Macaca fascicularis: one gene and its partner. The protein of the gene in region 1 interacts with the protein of each later gene in a biochemical or structural test. Links are inferred from orthologs where the notes say so. Each region holds a gene or a part of one and is shown in the gene's direction. Other genes may lie near its edges.

Region 1 (3,579 bases):
CCTCCTCCAGTCCCACGGGACCAGTTCTGGATCCTCCATGCCTTCGCTGCCTCCTGCCCTCACTCTCGTGGTGGATCTGAGCTTCAGAGCCCATATTCACCACCAGGATGTTGCAGGACCGTGCCTTATACCCAGTTCTGACCTACCATTGTACCCAACAGGGCAACATGGCAGTGACAGTGACCTACGGTGGGGACCCTGTCCCCAAGAGCCCCTTTGTGGTGAATGTGGCACCCCCGCTGGACCTCAGCAAAATCAAAGTTCAGGGCCTCAATAGCAGTAAGTGGGGCAAGAGCCACCCTGGGAGTGAGGGGTGTTCGGGTGGGGTGGACCGGAGTCTCCTCATGGTGTCACTTGTCCTCCACGCAGAGGTGGCTGTGGGACAGGAACAAGCATTCTCTGTGAACACACGAGGGGCTGGCGGTCAAGGCCAACTGGATGTGCGGATGACTTCGCCCTCTCGCCGGCCCATCCCCTGCAAGATGGAGCCAGGCGGCGGAGCGGAAGCCCAGGCTGTGCGCTACATGCCCCCGGAGGAGGGGCCCTACAAGGTGGACATCACCTACGATGGTCATCCAGTGCCTGGCAGCCCCTTTGCTGTGGAGGGTGTCCTGCCCCCTGATCCCTCCAAGGTGAGGAGATAGGAGCTGGTTGGGGCTGGGAGCTGGGGACTTGTCGGGAAGCTGGAAGAGTCATAGGGGGCAGAGGCCAGAGGGACTTATGTGCCTGGAGTGGGCACAGCCAAGAACGTGGGACTGAGACCAGCCCCACCCCACCACCTTCCTTGGAGACAACTTAGCTATTAAGAGCCTGGCCTTGGAGTCAGACCTGGGCTTGAATCCCAGGTCCACTACCTGGGGAAATTGCTTCATCTCTCTGCCTCCATGTCATCACCTGGAATTGTTATAAGCACTCAGTCTGCAATAGCAGCCACAGTTGGAGGTGATGAGTTGGGTGGGGGCCATGAAGGCTGGGATGGGAAGGCCGGGTGCAGGGAACCCACACACCTGCCTCTTCCCCTAGGTCTGTGCTTACGGCCCCGGTCTCAAGGGTGGACTGGTAGGCACCCCCGCACCATTCTCCATCGACACCAAGGGGGCTGGCACAGGTGGCCTGGGGCTGACCGTGGAGGGCCCCTGCGAGGCCAAGATCGAGTGCCAGGACAATGGTGATGGCTCATGTGCTGTCAGCTACCTGCCCACGGAGCCTGGCGAGTACACCATCAACATCCTGTTTGCTGAAGCCCACATCCCTGGCTCGCCCTTCAAAGCTACCATCCGGCCCGTGTTTGACCCAAGCAAGGTGCGGGCCAGTGGGCCGGGCCTGGAGCGCGGCAAGGCCGGTGAGGCAGCCACCTTCACTGTGGACTGCTCAGAGGCAGGCGAGGCAGAGCTGACCATTGAGATCCTGTCGGATGCCGGGGTCAAGGCCGAGGTGCTGATTCACAATAATGCGGATGGCACCTACCACATCACCTACAGCCCTGCCTTCCCCGGCACCTACACCATTACCATCAAATATGGCGGGCATCCGGTGCCCAAATTCCCCACCCGCGTCCATGTGCAGCCTGCGGTCGATACCAGTGGCGTCAAGGTCTCAGGGCCTGGTGTTGAGCCACATGGTGAGTGGTCAGGAGGAGCCAAGTGAGGTCAAGTGGCAGGTGCAGGAGCCGGATAGTCAGTGGGAGGGAGGGAAGCAGAGCTGAGGGCTGGGGGAGCCACCTGGCATGAAGGGAGGGCTCTCAGGGCAGCCCTAAAGTCCCTACTGGCCCAGAAGCCCCAGAGAAGGAGTGGAGGGGCAGACTGGGAGTGGAGACTGGCCTCCGCTCTTGTGGCAAAACTGCACCTGCCTCTGGGCGTTTTCCTGGAGAGGTCTCTTGTTTCATGTGCTTAAGGGGTACTCTGATGCAAAAAGCTACGACTCTGCTCTGGAGGGGGGCGGGGGAAAGCTCTGGGGTAGAGGATGACAAGAGTCAGGAGACAGTAAGTGGGAATGGGCCATCTGCCGGGGCCAGACCCTGGCCAGGCATGGGGCACGGCAGAGGGATGCAAGACCCAGGCCCACAGCCTGGTGGGTGACTCACGTGAACAGAGAATGTCACTACATGGAGAAGGGAGTGAAGGCAGAGGCTGGAGCTCACGGAGGTGCAGGGGAGGGTAGGGGGCCCAGCCTCTGATCAGAGGAGCAGCCTGGGAGTTGGGGAGTGGGAGAGGAGGGGGGAGGAGGGGAAGAGGAGAAGGAGAGGAGAGGGAGAGGAGGGGGAGAGGAGAGGGAGCATCTGTGTGAAGGCTGCCCCCACCCCTGCTGAGCATGCCACCCCTGGGCTCCAGGTGTCCTGCGGGAGGTGACCACTGAGTTCACTGTGGATGCAAGATCCTTAACAGCCACAGGCGGCAACCACGTGACGGCTCGCGTGCTCAACCCCTCGGGGGCCAAGACAGACACTTATGTGACAGACAATGGGGACGGCACCTACCGAGTACAGTACACCGCCTACGAGGAGGGTGAGGGCCGGTGGAGGGCCGGGCGAGCGGGCAGGGCCGGCCTCTGATGATATTGCGCTTGGGGCAGGAGGGGTGGTGGGGGTGCACACTCCCTGATTGATGCCCCTGTGGCTGGCTTCCAGGCGTGCATTTGGTGGAGGTCCTGTATGATGAGGTCGCTGTGCCGAAGAGCCCCTTCCGAGTGGGTGTCACCGAGGGCTGTGATCCCACCCGCGTCCGGGCCTTCGGGCCAGGCCTGGAGGGTGGCTTGGTTAACAAGGCCAACCGCTTCACTGTGGAGACCAGGTATCCTCCCCATTTGCTAGCCTAAACCTGTGACCACCCTTTCCCAGCCCCTGGCCCTCCTTGCTCGTCCCTCTGTCTGTACCTCAGCCCCACCCCATCCTCTCTCTGGGGTGAGGCAGGAGCAGACCCCCCGACAGGACTCCAGATCAGCCCCTGGCTCATTTCTCCTCAGCTGGGTCCCCAGCGGCCTGCCCTCTTTCCTCCCTGTCCCCCCATTCAGCTACTCCCTCATCTTCACTCACTGGTCTTATGAAGCTGATGGGGGGGTGTCATCTCTCAGGGGAGCCGGCACCGGGGGCCTTGGCCTAGCCATCGAGGGTCCCTCGGAAGCCAAGATGTCCTGCAAGGACAACAAGGATGGTAGCTGCACTGTGGAGTACATCCCCTTCACCCCTGGAGACTATGACGTCAACATCACCTTCGGGGGGCGGCCCATCCCAGGTGTGCAGAGAGAGTGGTCGGGGCCTCAGGGAAGACAAGGGAGGATGCAGGATGCTCACCCCACAAGGGGGAAACTGGAAGGAAGTTAGATGAGAACATTCATAGAGAGGATAGCTGAGAGCAGGTCGGGGCTGGAGCCCAGCCAGAGGGAGGACGTGGAGGAGGCAGGCAGTGAGGGTTGATGCGACAGCCCCCCAGTCAATCCCAGGAACACGCTCTGGCCTCCTAGCCGCTTGCCTGGAGCTCGAGACGTCGGCTGTGCAGGTCCACTGCTCAGTGTGTGTCTGGAAACTCAGACACCGCCCACTCCTCTTGGTGGCTCAGGCCAGCCTTGGGCCTTCTTGCCCGC
Region 2 (4,249 bases), on another chromosome or scaffold:
GAGAGAGCCAGGAGCCTGCGGGACAGGTAGAGGGCTAGAAAAGAGCAGGGGAAGAGACAAGAGGGAGGGAGACCAGGAAGAGGGGTTCCCAGATGTCCTCGCCCCCGTTCCAGCTGCCACTGCAGGACTGACGTTGACTACATGGAAAAAGTGAGCAATGTCTGGCATCATCCCCTGGTACCAGAGGGCATTTGGGGAGTCAGAAGGAAGACCTCATGTGCCAGGCCACAGAATGCACCTGCATACCCACAGGCATGGAGCCTGGGCCAGGCCCACCTAGGATGAAACACCTCTTTCAAGTTTTCTGTGGATGGTCCCCTGATATCCTTCACCACACTGGTCTGACTGCCAGGATCTCTTGGGCCTGCTGGGCCCCTCAGACCCTGGTAAGCAAAGGAGGAGGCAGGTGTGACCCCCCTCCCCGCTGCCACTCCATCTGTGACTGGGAAGCTGATGACTCCAGGGTCAGAAATAACCCCACGGTCAGCTCCCTGCATGCCGCCCTTCCCCTCCCCTCCGTTCCCAGAAAGCCTGGGCCCTGAGTCAGAGGGAAGAGTCGAGAAGAGAGAAAGGACTCAGTTAATCTGGGATGAAAACCACGGAGTCCTGCTGTGGAATTCATTCATTGGGAGGCCGAGGCAGGCAGATCACCTGAGGTCGGCAGTTCAAGACCAGCCTGGCCAACATGGTAAAACCCCATCTCTACTAAAAATACAAAAATTAACCGGGTATGGTGGCGCAAAGGAGGAGCTGGACCTGGCCAATCTCGGCCCAGTGAAGAGCTGTGCCTTGTCATTCAGATGTCTTCCCCCCAAATCCAGCTTTATCAGGGCCGTGTTGACCTGTGCTGTGGGGCACGGGGAAGAATGGATAAGAAAGAAGGAATTCTTTAGTGCAGAAGGGAATGGGGAAGAAAAAGAGCTGAGCTTCACACTCAGAGGTATTCAGGCTCAGAACAGAGGAGGAGAGGCCCAGCCTGCCCTCAGGAGACCTCCAGTCTCCTGGCACAGTGGGTGGAGACACGTCAGGAAGAGTCAGAGGCAGGACCAGAGTAGAGTGATGGAGGCTCACAAGACGGGGGCAAGCTGTCCAAGGTGTCAGATGCCCCTTCTTATTCACTCTCTCAAAATAGTCTGGGACACCCCCAACCCCACAACCCAGCTGAGTCACTGACCCCAATCCCCAGATCAGACTCTGGATGAATGAAGCTTCTCCCCCTCTGTTTCCCCTCCCCAGCCCGAAGGACATGTAATTGATTCCCCAGGATGGAAGAGTGACTTCCACAAGACCTAAAAATAACCAAACCACTTAATACTCTGAACATAGCCTCTCCCGCCCGCCCCCACCACGGCCCACCCACTAGCCAGCAAGATAAAGGCAGCTGCTGGGGCTGGCAGGGGACAGAGACCCGGAGCCAGGGCAGCAAGAAGGTGTCTGTTGGAGCCAGCAGAACAGAACCAATTTGAACAAGAACCTCGAGAGGAACGACGAACCCTGAGACCACAGCTGCTACAGACCCCAAACACCCCATCAGCCAAGAGAGACCCTCGGTGAGTAACCTACCTCTCTGTCCTTCCACGGCAGGGCTGGCGTTCACAGCTGGGATCCCCTGCCCTCCTGGAATGGACGTATTAGGGGTGGCTCTGAGTGGGGGAAGGAGATTGAGGGGCATGCATGGGAGGAGGTGAGTGGAAGTCTCAGATATAAAGAACCCACAAAGGAGGTAAAGACAGTGTGAGCCCCATGGGAGCTCTCAGAGTGGCTGCCACAGGCCTGAAGCTAGCAGAAAGGACAGGGTCCTGCCAGGCTGGCATGATCCAGTAAGGCCTGGAGTTGTGATTTTTAAAATACAGGTATGGAATGCCTCAGGCTTCGGGGCTTCCTCCCAGGGAAGCCTCAGGCAGGCCCAGGGTCTGGAGGAAGGAGGAACAGAAGAGAGGCGGGAGCAGGGGCTGTAGGTAGGCCTGAGTGTGCATTGCTAGAACAAGCCCCATGCCTAGTTGCTGTGGATGACACTCTCGGCATATCTGGCCCAGGCATAGCTCCCAGGGGCTGGCCGGAGCCCAGCTCCCTACATATCATAGCCTAAAACCTGGGGTGGAATTTGGACTCTGCCCATGGTCTTGCCCAGTGGGAAAGCCCCCAGGGCAGATCTGGGGCGCTCAGGGGAGGGAGACCGGATCTGAATTTGCCCAGATGTAAAGACATATGGAGCCAGCTGGGCCGAGGAGGAGGTAACCTGAGGACAGCAGTGGGACCATCCTGAGAGGTTGGCCCAGCCCTAGGAGACCAAGGTTTAGGACAGTTCTTGGGGTCACCCCACCTAAGTCTGGTCCCAGTTATGAATTCTGTCCTGACTCTACACTTGCCCCAGGAGTCTCAAGCCAGGCAAGGATGGTGGTGAGAAGGCCAGGAGTCAGGAGGCATGCTTCAGGCTTTGCTACTGCCTTGCTGAGCCTCCTTGGACAGCTCCTTTCCCCTCTTTGGCCCTCTGTTTCCCTATTTGAACAATAAGGGGTTTAGATTGAGTGATCTCTGAGGGTCCTTAGGCCTGACATCCCTGGACTCCATGATAATAACTGCCTGTGGCCTTAGCAGAGATTCTGGAAATTCCTGGGGGTGGGGGTGGGGTGAAGCTGATGGTCTGCCCATGCCATCTGCTCAGGTCACCCTGCTGGTGACAGGATGGAGTGGAGGTGGAGACAGGCACAGGTTTGCCTTGGGCAGGGGATCCTCGTTGGAGCTCAGAAATGAAAGAAAACCACGCAGAGCTTTGATGAGACTCAGGTTACAGGTTTCAGAGCTCACACTCCCCAAAGGTTCTGATGTCTTTGGTGGACATGCCAGGGTGGGCATGGGGTCAGGAGGTCTCGATTTCCTCTCTCCTCCTTCTGAGGTAGCCATAGGGAGGAAGTCCTGCCCCACTTGCTGCCAGTACTTCCCTCCACCGCAGACTCCTTTGGCCAGGGAAGGTGTCCAGGTTCTAGCACCTGGTTGGACTGCAGCCCAGGGGCCTGAAACCAGCCCAGGAGGCAGGATAGGGGAGCCCAGGGTAACGAAGGAGACGAGGTGAGCCAAGGGCACTGAGGATCCCCACTGGCTGGGCCTCAGCCTCCCTCTGAGCCCAGGGCTGCTGTTCTGAGGCCAGAACATCAGCTATATTTAGCACCCTGTGTGGTGCAGAGCAGTGGGTCAGGGGCAGCGGGAGGGGGCACATGCTTCCCATTCTTTCCCTACTGGCCTCTGGGGACTGTTAGTACACCTGTCACAAGACAGATAAGACATACATGGACAGAGACCAGAGAAGGGCTTGAGGGGTGGGAGGCCATTGAGGGGTGGGGGTGGAGCCAGGGAGGGGTAGGGCTTAGCCTGAAGCCCCCCTGAGTCCGAGCCCCTGAAGCTGTGCTTGCTTGCTTAGAGAGCGGTCTCCAGGGGCAAGGGGCAGAGCTGTCTCTGCAGAAAGGACCCTGGTCCCATGGTCCTCTCCCTGGTAGGTGTCGCCCTCATATCCTCCGAGGGGTGCCTGCTGGGGAATAGACTGGTCCTATGGCCAATAAGAAAGCTTTACACCTCCTACCCTCTTATGTCTTGGGCCCATGCCCTAAATAGAGTCTAGGGACCCCAAGCCAGCACTGCCTTCCACTTATTCACCAAGATCTGACTCTGGGCCTAAGTTCCCTCGTCTTTATTTATAAATGGTTGTGCTAAAAGACCTTTGAGATCCCCCTAGCTCAGACATTCTCAGTCTTGGAGTATAGTGCAGAAAACCCTGACCAGAGATTCAGAATTTGGATCTGGCCTAACCACGAGATATCTGATGAGCAGCTTCCCAGCCCTGATCCTCAACTGCTTCTGCCCTAGCATGGGCTGTTGGCCTCCGCTTGCCTCCTTGGGCCTGGGAAAGGTTGGAGTGCGTTGACAGCCAAGAGATAAAAGTTAGGCAGCACTCCAGGTCAACATGGCAAGTCTGCCCTCTGGTGTTCTGCAAAGGAATCTCGTCTCCATGGGAAATCAGTCACCAGGTTAGAGACCTGTCCCTCCAAGGCTGGGACTCCAAAAGTCAGGATTCCCCCAGGCCACTCTCCTGGGAGTCTTCTAGGGCAACACTGATTTTTAACAAAGGAAGGCGAGGATGGGGCCTGTCCAGTTAGGCATCCCTTATGGAGCTAAAGGAAAGAGTGTCATGTCCAGTTGTCCCATGGTTGCTCCCTAGCAACCCAGGAGATGTAGGGAAAGCAGGAACCCACTG

Evidence for each region.
Region 2: the proteins of FLNC (region 1) and XIRP1 form a complex in vitro, tested with the Homo sapiens proteins (2 studies listed by BioGRID and IntAct, with this or other methods). The link is inferred for Macaca fascicularis from reciprocal best matches to the Homo sapiens genes FLNC and XIRP1.

What each region holds. Positions count from the first base shown.
Region 1 is NC_088377.1:170,303,861-170,307,439, forward strand, and holds part of FLNC (filamin-C), read left to right. Parts: intron 1-161; coding exon 162-279; intron 280-369; coding exon 370-632; intron 633-1,023; coding exon 1,024-1,621; intron 1,622-2,330; coding exon 2,331-2,504; intron 2,505-2,626; coding exon 2,627-2,789; intron 2,790-3,069; coding exon 3,070-3,230; intron 3,231-3,579.
Region 2 is NC_088376.1:101,263,807-101,268,055, reverse strand, and holds the start of XIRP1 (xin actin-binding repeat-containing protein 1), read left to right. Parts: upstream 1-1,399; 5' UTR 1,400-1,550; intron 1,551-4,249. UniProt on the Homo sapiens protein: Protects actin filaments from depolymerization. Required for correct cardiac intercalated disk ultrastructure via maintenance of cell-cell adhesion stability, and as a result maintains cardiac organ morphology, conductance and heart beat rhythm.